Linked DNA regions of Lepisosteus oculatus. The protein of the gene in region 1 binds, or shares a complex with, the protein of each later gene. Links are inferred from orthologs where the notes say so. Each region holds a gene or a part of one and is shown in the gene's direction. Other genes may lie near its edges.

Evidence for each region.
Region 2: eif3jb (region 1) and eif3s6ip share a complex: the UniProt entries of both Homo sapiens proteins name them as parts of the eukaryotic translation initiation factor 3 (eIF-3) complex. The link is inferred for Lepisosteus oculatus from reciprocal best matches to the Homo sapiens genes EIF3J and EIF3L.

Annotation. Positions count from the first base shown.
Region 1 is NC_090700.1:47,205,052-47,212,365, forward strand, and holds the start of eif3jb (eukaryotic translation initiation factor 3 subunit J-B), read left to right. Parts: upstream 1-4,128; 5' UTR 4,129-4,218; coding exon 4,219-4,240; intron 4,241-4,354; coding exon 4,355-4,443; intron 4,444-6,266; exon of another isoform or gene 6,267-6,402; intron 6,403-6,793; coding exon 6,794-6,857; intron 6,858-7,017; coding exon 7,018-7,109; intron 7,110-7,314. Other genes in the region: strc1 (stereocilin), read left to right, coding at 109-259, 1,298-1,392. UniProt on the Homo sapiens protein: Component of the eukaryotic translation initiation factor 3 (eIF-3) complex, which is required for several steps in the initiation of protein synthesis.
Region 2 is NC_090712.1:11,362,660-11,370,174, reverse strand, and holds the start of eif3s6ip (eukaryotic translation initiation factor 3 subunit L), read left to right. Parts: upstream 1-4,466; 5' UTR 4,467-4,571; coding exon 4,572-4,613; intron 4,614-5,100; coding exon 5,101-5,143; intron 5,144-5,843; coding exon 5,844-6,054; intron 6,055-6,595; coding exon 6,596-6,675; intron 6,676-7,048; coding exon 7,049-7,078; intron 7,079-7,515. UniProt on the Homo sapiens protein: Component of the eukaryotic translation initiation factor 3 (eIF-3) complex, which is required for several steps in the initiation of protein synthesis.

The DNA of each region.
Region 1 (7,314 bases):
GTTTTAGGGATTTCCAAAAATCTGACCAGCGGTTAAGAAAATGTCCTTTCCTGTATGAGTGTTGTCCCTGTGTTTCATGACCTTGCCCCCTTTCCTGCCCCTGAGCAGGTGGTGTTCAGTCCGGACCAGATCCGGATGTTCTCCTATGACCAGGCTGCAGCTGTGACCTCCAGCCAGCGCCAGGCCCTGAGCAGCATGCAGCTCACAGCGCTGTCCATGGTGCTGACGCCCTGGGAGGACAAGCCCGTGGACTTCAGGGGTGCGACACACTACCTTACGCTTTATATAGCGCCTCTCACCACAATTAGTATCTCACAGCTATCAGCCAAACTTGTAAGAAGAAACTGAATCTCTTGGTCGTTCTCGAAAATTGAGTCAATGGGGAAAAAAAACCCACAATGGTCCTCATGTTGACATGGCCTGGTCAATATCTGCTTTGACCATGGCTTTCCAGAAACCAGGAGCAGGGGGATAGCTAGAAATGTCAACTTGGCATATAGCAACAGCAGATGCAGAGATAACCGTTCACATCATACTGCTTTACACTGAGAAACTCGCTATGGCCAGACGGAACTACTCTGAGCCTGATTCGTGTAATGGAATGAGCAGAGGTTCATTCCAGGCTGAAAAGCACAAAGAAGACATTAAATACTCTAAATATCTCAGATACAGAGCCATCCTCAGGGCAGTTCATTTATAATACCTACGAGCACATGCCCCTGGAACAAGCATTCACACTTTATAATGATCCTCAGCACCTTGATACTCATATAATATTCATCAACACTGAATGTTCACCTGATACTTGTTCACAATGAAGGAGCCGAACGCTGTGCTTTTGTCGCTGATTTCAATAAAGAACATGTGGCTCAGTAATTACATTAGTGTGGTAGTGTGTGGGTTGTCTTCTTCTCACTTCTCCCATGAAAGAGACCTTGGCAAAACAGCCAGACAGATCGTCACGCCCAGAGCCCAGTGATATGAACAGGATGGACTGGTGTGTCACTCCAGAGTTGTAATGGAGCCTAAGACAAAAGAGCTATGAAGGCAGCTATACTGTAGGACAGCAAGTGTTTTCCATCTTCCCAGACCTGAGCACTTCTTAGAGTGGTAACTTAAATCCTTCACACTGACATGAAATCTCTGGAAATACGAAGCGTGTTTGGCAGGTGAACAATAACAGAAACAAATGTCTGGAGAAGGCGGTGCCTGACGTGCTCCTCTCTCTGCGGTGCTGCTGCTGCTGTTGATTGCTACCCAGAGTGCAGTTCCTCAGTGTTGCTCTTCTCGTTGACAGGAAGGTCCACTGGACTGTCGCTGCAACCCGCCGCCTCCGTGCTGTTCCTGGGCCTGCTGTCGTTCTTCCTGTCTGGACACAGCCTGCTTCATTGAGCCAGACCTGCGCAGCACTCATGTGCTTGCACACACACTGGCACACACACTCATGTGCATACGTACACACACACTAGCACACACACTCATGTGAATACACACCATTAGCACACACACTCATGTGCATGTGCATGTGCATGTGCATGTACGTACGTACACACACACACACACTCATGTGCATACGCACGCACACTAGCACACACACTCATGCATGTACACAAACATGTACATGCACACAAATGCATGTATTCACACTAGCACACACACTCATGTGAATGTACACGCACTAGAACACACTCCTGTGCATGCACGCAAACGTGTACATGCGCACACACACACACTCATGAGCATGTACTCACACTAGCACACTCTTGTGCATGTACACAAACTAGCACACACACACTAATTTGCAACTACACAACCGTGCACACAAACACGTGCATGTAGATACACATACAAATACACAAGCACACACAAACACATGTTCATACACACACAGAGGACTCCTTACCTGCTTTTCAACCTCTCCACCTGCAATGTAGTTAATTTCTAATTTACTGGCCTTCTTCCTTTGTCTCTATTAGTGTTGCATAAATCTTTGAGTCCAACAGTCCCACAGCCTTGCAGCTCTCTGTTGATCATCAAGAGAGTAAGACTTGGGGAAAAGAACTCATCTCATCAAATTAAATACAGCAATCAGTTAAATTACATCATTAAGAACGTGGGTGGGAAAAGAACTGGAATTATGCTACCCAGGTGCAGAAATAACATACTTCCCAAGTAAATATTGGGATGAAGAAAAAATATTTAGATACAAACTGTCAGATATGTGTCCATAAACAGATTCAACTCTAAAGGCATCTGGAGCCTAACAGCGTGTTCTTAGGATTGTGTTGGAAAGTCTGCTTCAACTCCACATTTATGCGGTCCTGTCACAGGGGTGTGGGTTTACAACTGAGATGATGTAGTTACTGTTCCCCACATTTGACCAATATTGGTATTGGTAAACCAATATCATTAGTATGGTCCACAATAGAGAGACTTACCTATTTTTTCATCAGTTGAAAGTGGATAAAACTAGGATTCTAGAGAACATTGTTTAAAACTGAATGGCAGGTGCCTACGTTTTATACTGTAGTAGGAAAGCACAAAACACCAGCCCTCTTGGTGTGTTTTAAGGTGGCACAGACTAAAAGCAAATGATGATGTTAATCACGAATGATGAATAATAAAGTCAGTTGTAGCACTTATTATCAAGCGCCTGTTATTCCACGGCTATTGCGGAATTAGAAGGAATTTTCTGTAAGGCTTTTTTTTTCTTTGTCTCGAAATGTTGCGGACATTAATAGTGTGGTGTACACCGACTGTCCAACCCTGGGCCCAGAGGGCCGGTGACTCTGCGGGTTTTCATTCCAGCTCCGCCCTGAACGAGATAAACCAGCTGGTTACTGGTTTAACTGGACCGATTGAACAGCTCCCGTCAGCTCTGCAGGTGATGCTGCTCTAGAGACCTTTGTCCAACCGGGGTTGGACAGTCCTGGAGTAAAACGTGTTTTACACATATCCCTTTTTACGCAACGTAAAAATGGCTGATGTCTTCACATATTTGTAAAAACTGAGACTATTTCTTAAAAAGTGAGCTGGGTCATTATATTCTTTTCGTTATTTTTCAGTCTGCTGTGAATGTTGTTTTAATTATCTTTGTTTTGCTTTTTCAGGCTTTGTACCGCTCGTACGGAATATACTGTATACATTCACATTTCGATTCCTTTTTGTATTTCTCATATGAAACTATAAATGAAAACGTCATGTAATTATCGTCATACTGCTTTACTGCTTTCACTGAATTAAGATGTTAAATTGTGCTATTTTAAATGTATATTCAATTAATCTACTTATATAGTTCCTTGATCTCAACTATTAAGTACAATTATATAATAGAGCGTCTTGTTATATATTTTCAAGATTTATTTTTGTTATTGTAATAATTTTAAATCTACTTGGAGTGATACTGCACAATATTTTACTAATTTTGTGCTTGGTGATTAATTTAAATGCCTGATGTGTGCTTCTAGTATAACACGACAAAAACCGATGTGTGAATTTCATATGGTTATTGTATTGAACTTATTTTTCGTAAATATCATAAAAAGGACGGTATAATAAAACTTCTGTATAGTAGAGAATATCGTCCGTCCTGTGTGCATCTGGATGTTCAAACATTGCTCATTAAACGAAATCAAGCATCTCTACGGTCTCTCCTGCGATTGTATTCCAGATCCGGAGCGCTGATGCACAACCACACAGTATATATATTCTACTGCACACCGACCGACCCGAAGTTCAACACATGTAAAGCGTTCACTGAGCTCAGCCTCAGACAATGGTAGCGGCGTCTTTTACTATATAGTAAAAAGGCTCAATGAAACAATCTGTCAATAGTCATACAACTGCTCGAATTAACATTAGGCGACTAGGATTAGTTCGAAAGCGTTCAAGTAGGTAGCAGCGTCAGCACGGGTAGGCTGCAAAGGAACAGGTAAAGGTTTATTCCATGCCAAAAGAAAAAGAAAAGACACAACGTTTCGGCTGCGGAGCCTTCTTCAGGTGTTAGTTTGAAAGCGCCGGACGGTGTAATAATACATTTGACTGGATAAAAGAGGTTGGATTGCTATAGCACAACACTCCCAGCAGAGGGTGAGATGGAACATATTAGCGGCAGTCTTCCTGTATCCCATCATTCCCAGGGCGCGGTGGTGCCGCCAGCCCAGTAGGACCTGCTCGCTCGTTGACTCAGCCTCACTCACACATCGAAAGCGAGCAAAGATGGCGGATGTTGACTCCTGGGGTAAGACTCTCCGACGGGAGTGACTGGTTTCCTTTGAAAAAAAAAATACAGAAATGGGATATGCGTGCGGTGCTGTTCCCCGCGGCTGACAGTCTGTTCTCTGTGTTTTGACAGACGCGGACTATTTCGAGCCGGAGGAGCCGATCAACAAGGCGGCCGCGATAGATCGGTGGGAAGGCGAAGACGAGGAGGAAGATGTGAAGGTAGATACGGGCGTCCAGGCAGCCCGGAGCGGGACCTCCGCCACAGGCCGCGGGGGCCCGGGCGCTGCTGTCTGGCCGCTATAGTCAGCAACCAAGAGGGTACACTACTAGTTTTAGATCTGGGTTTTGTTTGCAGATCCGCTTTGTCCATGCTGTGGCTGTCTCTCTCTCCCTCCTGTGCAGTTTTCCGAGCGCCGCGCTGTGTTTGTGCGGAAAGAGTGTAACGCTGGCTGCCGGTATAGACGCACTGACAGGCCATGTGAGAGCGAGTGAGCGGCTGACTGTATTCGCTCCGCTTCGGCAGTTTTCACAGGAGCCCCCGTCTGTGTTTTTATTTTCTTCTTATAGTAGCCCGTGTTCAGCAACTTGCTGCGAATCGGCAGAGTTGTCGGGAGTCGATTTGAACGAGGGCGACGCGCTGCGAGTCGTGCCCATATGTTTTACTCGTGGCAGGTCGGCGTTTCGCCTCTGAAGAAGAGCTAGCGGGAGTGCGTGACAGTACCCCTCCTTTCAAGTGATGGCACCGTGTGCTCCTGCGTCTAAAGATAACGCTGGATTCCCGTCGTTACACACGGAGCTGTACAGATTAAAAGTGAGCGTGTGTTTAGAGAGCGAGTACTCGGGGGAGTGAGGCGCACTATGGCAGGAGTGAGCAGTCATGCCGTCTTTGGGCCTGATCGGATGACGGACTGGATTGCATTAGTTTGAGTCAGCCGGTGCATTTTTTTAACCTTGATTTTAGAGAAATGACGACACCAGTTAAGTCATCTTATTGCTCTTGATGTCAATAACCAACGAGCAATACGTGTGTTTGTAGTTCTGGGGGGATTTGATGGTTTTTAAGCGAAGTTTTAAAAAGTTTAAATAGTCATACCTCACAGAGTTACCTCTTAGAAATATTAAATGGAGGATGTGGCTTTTGCATTAATCGTTACATAAGGAATGTTTAGTTCTAATGGTTTATGTTGTGAACGTACCTTTCCTCTGCACTATGTCTGTATTTCAGCAATGGCTAACCTGGAATGTTTGGTATAGGTCGTGAACTGGGAAGCTTTAACATTTGTTTCTAACCGGATCTTATCCTTTACCTGTAACAGTGTTTTCTTTCCATAGTTCATCTTTTTTTTTCCACATTTGACTTTGCTGTCTCTGAGGGATCTCAGTGGGATCCATTTATACATCTATCAAATGTGAACGTTTCCTATTAGGTTAGTAGGCCCAGGCTAAACCCAGGTTCTGTTGGTTATTGAAGCTGAAACAAGACACTGGTGACATCAGAGACACAATGAGTATTCCTAGAACCATTTCTGTGAGCCCCTAGTCTTTGTTCGATCTTTTCCAGAATCCTCCCTGGCAGGGAGTCAATAATGCTACAGAAAGGTCTAGTGCTTACTGTACAACAGCTTACACCCGCAGATCAGCTCGTTTGGTTGAGTACCAGGATTCATATATTGCACTATGGGAAAGTATTGTTCAAACAATTTACAGTAGTTCCTGGTTTTCCTTTCAGATATAAAGATAATTTTGACCCTGAAATGAGCTGAGCTAGCTAACAGAGGGCAGAGATATTGTTGGATAAGGTCACAGGGTGTGATCTATTTCTAAGAAATCAAGCATTAAGACTGCTGATGATTTGTCCAGAAAGTGCCGTTCAGTTTAAAACCACTTTGTGTGTAAAGTTAAGCGCTGTGTAATGTATTGTATAAATGGCAACAGAAAAGTTAAAACGGTTCAGGTTTGCGAACTTCAGTATTTGTTCATTTGTTTAAAAACGCACACTGCGCAGGGCAGCAGGAGTGACGAAGGAGCCGGTGTAATGTGAACCTCCAGTTCTTGGCACACACATGGCTGTCCGTGCCTGTGTGTGTGATGTTCGGAGGAAGAGCAAGTGGCAGTGTAATGTCTTCGGTACCAGTGAGCCTAACTCTCCTGGTCCTATCCTCAAGCACTGGCACAAGGTCAACTGCTGACTGCTGACCAGTGAGATCTTTATAGTTAGCCTTGACCCTAATAAAACATACATGCATGTGGTTCATGTTATTCATAAGCTTAAAACAGAAGTGTCTTCATTGAATGACCAAGGCACCTTCTTCATTGGTATCCTGTTGACAGTGAAGTTTAATGTTGGTTTTGGTTGTGGGAGAAGATTCCTTTGACTGGACGTACAAATTGACCAGGGTTTGCGCTTTCTATGAAGAGAGAAAATAGCACTTTAACAAGTTCATCCAGTCAGTTGAAGTCAAAAGCAGGCAGTCTAATTAGCTACAGGAGACGGTAGAGACTTCAGTTAGACCGTGAGCTGCTGTGGGATGTCTTGAAAAAAACTTTACCTGCTCCTTTCCTTCTGCAGGACAATTGGGATGACGATGAGGAGGAGGAGGAAGAGGGGAAAAAGGTTGAGGAGAAAAAAACAGGTGAGAAAGGAGAAAGCCAGCATTTAGCAGATAGTCTTATTTTAGTCTGTTTAATAACAGTGAATGAAATTGTCATTTTTATCAGTTTTTTTGCACAGTAATAAACAAAAATAAATAATTTACTTGTGCTTTTCTTCTTTTGCTTTGCTTTATAATCCAGAAGTAAAAGTTTCAGAGAAGAAAAAATTAATTGAAAAGATTAAAGAGAAAGAGAGTCGACTAAAGAAGAAGCAGGAAGAAATTAAACAGAGGGTGAGTATCGGAGCCGCTCGGTAACCACACACTATATACCTGTGTCACACGTGACAGGGATAGTTTTCATATAAAAAGCCATTCAAGCTCCCCACGTGTCTAGTAGGAAAGCAGAGGTAACTCGCAGAGGATTGAGTGGGGAGCTGTGTCGGCGTGCGTTGGCAGCAAAGGAACAAGTAAAAGTGAATTCACGCCGAAAAGTAGA
Region 2 (7,515 bases), on another chromosome or scaffold:
TAATGAGGTGTTGCAAGACGTTGAATAGAAAACTCTCTGAAATATATGGCAAAGGTAGAAAACAGGCACTCTGGCTACAAACCTTGTAATTTATAGTCTTGTTCCTCAGTTTACTGATCTGAGAAATTAAGTATGAGCTGACACCTCCTGTGTGAAAATAGAATGTTTACGTGCCCTAAAAAAACAAGTGCTGTCATCACAGGTTTATGTCCTTTGTTTCTTGTCTACATTTTATTAAATAAAATATTTCTGCATCTCAATTTAAAAGAACGTTTTATTAAACTGAGAGCAAAAATCCAAAAAACTAAAAGGTAAAGAAAATCATACTTCATGACAGTTTTTCCTCAAAAGCACTATTTAATGAAGACAAATACTACCCATGTTAATATGGTATTAGTCAGAGAAAAAAAAGTGGTTTTGTTAAAACTGTTTTTCTATAATAGTTCTATTTCTTTTTGTAATACTATAGTTATTCTGCTTGAGGAATGAAGATGGAAAGCTTGTATCTGATATTTTTTAAAGGAATCTCTTATTTAGAAAGATGGTTGCTACCCTGTTTGACCAGTGTTTCCTAAATTTCATTAAAATACATCAACATATAAAACCATTAAAAAGTATGAAAGGACAAAATACTTTTAACAGTGGACTTGCTAAGGTACAGGCTTTCACAGAACACAGACAAACATCAGCCTGGTTACAAATAATTCCTTATGCAACATACAAAACACATTTTAACGTTTTTGATTTCTAAGCATCAATGCAATGAGAAGTCTAGTGCACTGCCACCACACCAGTATGTATTGCTGATTAATTACATATAAAAAGCAGCACAGTGTAATTAACATGAGAGGTGAATTTGATTCAGTTTTACAATAAAAGTGATGTATTATAGCTTAGCCTATATTCTAATAAGCATTATTTTGTTCTGCAAATCTCTGAAAAAGACTAGTCTAATTATTTTTTGGGTAAAAGGCTTTTGAGTTAAAACTAAGTATTTACACCTTTAATATTACTACTAATCATATTTTAAAACTACTATTAATAATAATAATGCTGTTTCTCCTTTTGTTGTTAGTTTCCTCATCAATGTATTTCCCGATGTTCATTATATTTAGGCTACCTCTACTTTATCTGGTAGTATTTATTCGTATTTGAAACCTTTGTGGGAAAAAATAAAACGCATTCAAATTAAAATTAGAATGTAGTTGATTGTACACAATAAAAAGGGGTTGAAATTGAGATTCGTTTAACACTTTAAAACAGAAGAAATTCACACAGAAGAAAGACTTAAATCTACTTTTTTCAACTACATTCGGCTCTTCGATGACTTTTAACTGTGAGCGAACGGCACCCTCTATTGGCAGACTCTAATATTGCAGTTTCCATCCTAAGGGAACATTTGTTTAAGTCTCTTAATTAAAAATAATTATTACGCTTATGTAGCTCTTTTAATTCCAAAGGATCCCAAAGAGACTAGAAGCACAGTATTCACTTGGATGAGCAGCCCTGCCGCACAACAGATTGGGAAGGGAAATCAGCATTTGCTTTTCTAATTGAATTAGGAGGCCCAACTGGGCAAGCCCATGGTGGAGCTTAGCCTTGACAGTGGGGTTAACAACTCTATTACCTGTAGATTTGGAGGCACCCACCCCCAAAAAAAAACAAAAACACCACAAGCAATGACGCTCAATGCATTGGACCTTGGTTTGACATTTCATCCAAAGTATGACACCGGCTACAGCACTGTCATTAGACATTGCTTTTGAAACTGCGGCCCACTGGGAAGAGTGTCACCTGAAGCATCAAGCAGCAACTTGGATTTCCCTGGAGGTCTCCCATCTCAGTACTTACCAGGCACAGTCTTGCTGTTCATCCAGCTACTGATTTCCTATTTTAGAAGACTTGCAGCAGCCTTCAGGTTATTTTTCAAAGGGCTGGATTACACACCTTGTGGATTTTGTCACACCTGGATTTGGGGGTGGGAGTGTGGATTAGTAACGAGGGGCTCTGGACACCAAACCAGGAGGCCATGACTGCACTTCCTGGGTGGCACCCTGCTGTCGTCCCCTTGAGCAAAGTACTGTGCTTCTCTCAGTTTGCTCCAGTATGTGTCCTGCTGCATAGGTGGGTAAAAACCAGGTTGTCAGTGTGAACTAGAGTTTAAGGTATCTGGTGAAATAATTACAAATTATTTTGAATTAATTGATAGGAAAAAGATGTGCCTTGTTCATGTGGTAAATCCTGAAGAATAACATTAAGAATTATTATTATTAATATAATTTTGATAATAATATTGAATAGGCACAGAAACCATCACCCCAGTAGATTTCTTCAGTCTTAATGTAGAAACGTGAACCAGAAGAAACAAGTGGATCCTATGTAAAAGTGTGGAAGTGTATTTAAAAGTCAGCCAACATTTCTAAAGAAAGGGAAATATTTTATAACAAAAAGCCAACATGGGTACTTGCTGTACAAGATGACAATGCATAATGTAAACCTTGTAGTGGTTTTATTTAATAGAAAGATAATAGTGGGTGTTATCTTCCAAAGCTGAAAACATACCTCGATATTATGTGATTAAGCTAGAACTCCTAAAATCTGTAACATTAAAGAGCAAAGAGTTTTCACCACCGACGTACAGTAATGATGATGTTCCCATCACAGTAACATAACAATTCATTTGGGAGATTCCTATTGCTTAGAATTACACTGTGGTAATTGTAGCAAGACTAGCATATATCACCTTTCAGAAAGTATAACGGTAATACATTGGGATCATTGATATACAGTATGATTTACTGTTATACCAAACGATACTGTTTCTGATCAGATGTATATTTTATGCCCGATTAACTGTAAAATGTATCTGACGACTTTCCAAACATGTAGCCCTGTAAAGCAAGTTGCCTTTTCCAATACCATTAACATTTCACGCAAGAATGGAGCCTGTCCTTTATTTCGGATGTGACTAGGAATTCGAGGAGCTGAATCGCGGTATTTTCCATTGTGTAGCAATAAGTGGTACACTTCACACTTCCCCCACCTCTGTCGATGTTCCAATAGCTCTTAGGATTAGGCAGTTTCACGACAACGTAATTGTTTCGTTAGTATGCATAATTCATTTTTGTGTAGATTGTGTGTAACACTTTAGGTTTAAACTGATGAGTATAGCTGACATTCTTACATGCATTTACATTGTATTTTGCACAGATTGCCTATTTATTATTTTAAACCGTGCATTGCAACAACGTATGTGATTATGCCCGTGCAAGTACAGGCGTGGAAATACATTTGCATAAATAGCGGGACTCAGGACTTGACCAGGTAGCGCTAGCAGGCAGAAGCGGTTACATGCATTCTTTCGTTTTGAATACACAGCTGTGGCAACATAGTGCTTCTTGAGAAACTGCGTGGCTGTGTACACTCTTCATTTTGTGGATGCTTGACCTGGTTACGTTTTTTCCATAGCAGTTCACGCAGACGTCGAACTTGATTTGCAATATGGGCAATCGATGTAAATCGTGGTGCGGTGAAGACACCTTGATTATGTAGTAAAACTTGTCGACTTCATTGGTATCATTCTAAAAAGAGTATGGATTCCTGTCTGCATCCTCGCCGACTCCATCTCGCTACAGTATCTACAGTATAGTGTTCCTACTATTGGCAAATAAAACCACGACCTAATGCAGGGGAAAGTACACAATCAACAACACATATAGCAAGTACAAATAACAGCTAGTTGCTGACAAACATTTCCTCTTCTTTTAGAAATAGAGGGAATAGAGGAAGGTCAGCACCTGATTGTTTCCAGTGCTAGAAAACGGAGAATCGACTGTGCTTGTTATTCCAAAAACCATTCTTAAGACAAATTAAATTTCCCTAAGCATATGTCTCGTTTCCGACTTTGACAGTAACATTACTGTGAAATAACGGGAGAAAACATGTCCTTTGGATAAATCTTATGATATTTTGAATAGCTCATTGTGAGCCTCGGATCTGCATATGCCTGTCCACACCAGTGATGCAGAGAGAGAATTAGCAAACGTATTATTTTATTTCTTATGTATTGAAAATAAAATTAAAAGAAACATTAATAGAACTATTAGATGAACTCTTATGGACACAGGATTTTCGTAATACAAGACAAATGCAACTTTCATTTTATGTCTTTGTAAGTAAAATATGCATCAAGATTATAAAGCACATGTATTACACTGTACCACAGATTACTGGTTTAACAGCGAAACCTGTTTTTACACCTGCTGTCACAATACCGTATTTTTTAACATCGTAAAACGCAGAGGGCAGTCAATTGCATTCACTTATTCTTCGATCACAACCTCTCTACGAACAGCGCCCCCCATGATTGAGTCTGCACTGACTGGTAGTTTTAACACAAGCAAAAAGTACCACGGCCGGTTCCACCACAATCCCAGAATGCACAGCACGTCGGGTTTTACTCCGGAAGTGAAGGCCCTTTTTTCCTCTTTCCTGTGCACGTTATGTGTGTTGCATGGTTGTATTCTTAGCTGGAATCTATTACAGACTGAAAGGGGACCAATCCTAAAACCATGTCATACCAGAACGAGGACGTAGACGGAGATGTAAGTACTGTGAGTAACGCTATACTCGTTCTGGAAAAAGTCGAATAATGCACATGAAATAATCACTCTCCTAAATAGAGCTGCCGACAGGCGGAGGCCCGCGGCATACAGTGGTCATCTTCAAATTGTTACATATAGTAACGTACATATAGACGAGGGTGTAATTGGAAGGAAATACATTAATTTATCGTTTTTATGATTCCGACGTATAGTCTACCCGTTTGACAAAAAATAAAGAGTATTGTTTTAGGTGGTCAACTACCTCATACATTAGTTTATACCTCATCATGTGTATTCTTGTGCATCGGGTGTGAATAACTGTGTTGCTCCCTGTGAATATTGGTAAATATTGCATTTGACACTTGCGAATTCCAAATGTTTAAACGTTTTTAAGTAAAACGGGGGTGTTGACTGATGTTAGCCTATTTTACAGCTCTAAAATGGACTGTCTGCATTTTCCTTTTTAATTTATCAGCTGTTTTCTTTCTTTTGGCAGTATGATCCCTACTCTTACTCCAGTGACTACGACTTGCACACGGGTGAGTGTTTTAAGAGTAAAAAAACGTAAGCTCTCGGCTCATTCATCCCCAACAGGGTGATTCCATTCAATTAAAAATAGTTTATTCCAGCAGCCAGCAGCCATATCAGCCTGCAACTCACAACTGGCAACTCACTGAAGCTCAGTAGGTGTGAGCCTGGTCAGTACCTGGATGGGAGACCTCCTGGGAAACACTAAGGTTGCTTTCTTAGTGGGGCCAGCAGGGGACGCTCACCCACTCAATGTGAGTCTTAATGCCCCAGTATAGTGACGGGGGACACTATGCTGTAAAAAAAGGCGCTGTCCTTCAGATGAGGTCCTGACTCTCTGTGGTCATTAAAAATCCCAGGGCGTTCTCGAAAGGAGTGGGGGTGTAACCCCCAAACCCCAAAAGTTCCAATTGGCCCTTACCAGTCATGGCCTCCTAATAATCCCCATCTATGAATTGGCTTCATTACTCAGGTGATGTGTGGGGAGTGTACTGCCATCACCACATCAGGTGGATTGTGCACAGTGGTGGTGGAGGGGAGTCCCCATTACCTGTAAAGCGCTTTGAGTGGAGTTTCCAGAAAAGTGCTATAGAAGTGTAAGAATTATTATTATTATGATTCATATGTAAGATATATGCATGAACACATTTGCAAAGCTGACTACTGGTAATATTTGTACACTACATTTGCCTTTCTTATGTTGTCTCTCAGGTGACCCTAAAGCAGACCTGGCTTATGAGCGTCAGTATGAGCAACAGACCTACCATGTCATCCCAGAAGTGATTAAAAACTTCCTGCAGTACTTTCACAAAACGATCTCAGACCTCATTGATCAGAAGGTTTATGAGCTGCAAGCCAATCGAGTGTCCAGCGAGAGCATTGAGCAGAAGATATATGAGATTCAGGATGTATATGAGAACAGGTATCGCAAGGTTCTAGTACACATGCTCACTGAGAGTACACAAACCATTACCAGCAGAAACATGTTTTTGAATAGGAAAAGCAGAAATGTATATGTCTGCTTTAGCTCAGAAGCATCTGAGAACAAGTACAATAGAAAACAGATCTTTAAGTCCATCAAAGCTTACAGATTCCTCAGATGTCAATAATTATGTGGTTCTTAAAAGATCCCAGTTTATGACCTTAAGCACTATGTTTTGGCTTTAATTGGCTTTAATTGAATGTGCTCTTCGTAAATTTGTGGCTCCCCGTCTTCTGCTTGGTGATTCACCTGCTGTAAATGGTTTGTCTTTCAAGTTATTTTCTCCATGTAGCCTCTGTCTTTCCTAAATTGCACATTTCTTTTCCATTTTTTAATTAGACGTATTCTTATGAAAAGCCAGGTGTTACAGGTGTTTGTATTTGTGTCCTTTGTTTATGTGTACTGTTTCAAACAGAGGTGGCTTGCAGTTGTTAAATAAAGGTCTGTGTACCTATACCACTTCTCTCCCTCTTCTCTGTAGCTGGAATAAGCTGACTGAAAGATTTTTTAAGACCTCCCCATGGCCAGAAGCTGAGGCCATAGCCTCCCTTGTGGGAAATGGTAAGTTTTTATTTTAACAGCATTAGCCAAAAAAATCTTCTGCTTTTCATTTTTTGCATTTTGTTTTTCATATCAGAATAATAATTGATTAGCAATAGTGTCTGCTGAAGCTGTGTAAAAGATGTTTTAATTTTGAACATTAACCCTTACCCATATCAGAAAGAGTAATACTAAAGGTAATAAAACTATTAATTATTAAGTTTTGTTCTTCTTGATATGGTAAAAATGTTTTTAATAAGAATACTGATGTAAGTAAAATGTACATCAAGGAGATTGTGAGGCACACTATCAGTTTCTGTCAGGGTGTATTACACTGTAGCACAACTAACTGATTGGTAAGGCTATTTTAAAATAATGTATTTTTGAATCACAGAAGTGCTTAATCCTCACTCAGGAAAACAAGGTAAGAGTGCTGCTAAGAAATAAAATATTTATAAGCCATTTTACAATGTTAACCTCAAAATAGAACAATAGTTAGAAATACCACATTTATAGGACTGTTTTGTAATTTAGATTAGGACTCTTTTTGCTAGAATTCATGCATCTTCCTAAAAGCAATCAGTAAATGTATTTACTTTTGGGCCTTTTGTGTGAATCCCACAAGGTTAGTGGCTAAGCTGGTGTGGCATGTGCAGATAATTTTATGAGAAGATAATTCAGCATCTTAGGTTCCTTTAAACGCAGTATTTGTCATTTTAACCTGAATAATGTCCTTGTGTTTTATTTATACCTCATTGTAAAAGTAGTGTTTAGATTGTGTGACAGCATCTTTTTCATACTTAATAAAATTGTAGTTCTGTAGAATAAATTAGACTTCAGCAATCACTTCTAATTATTTCC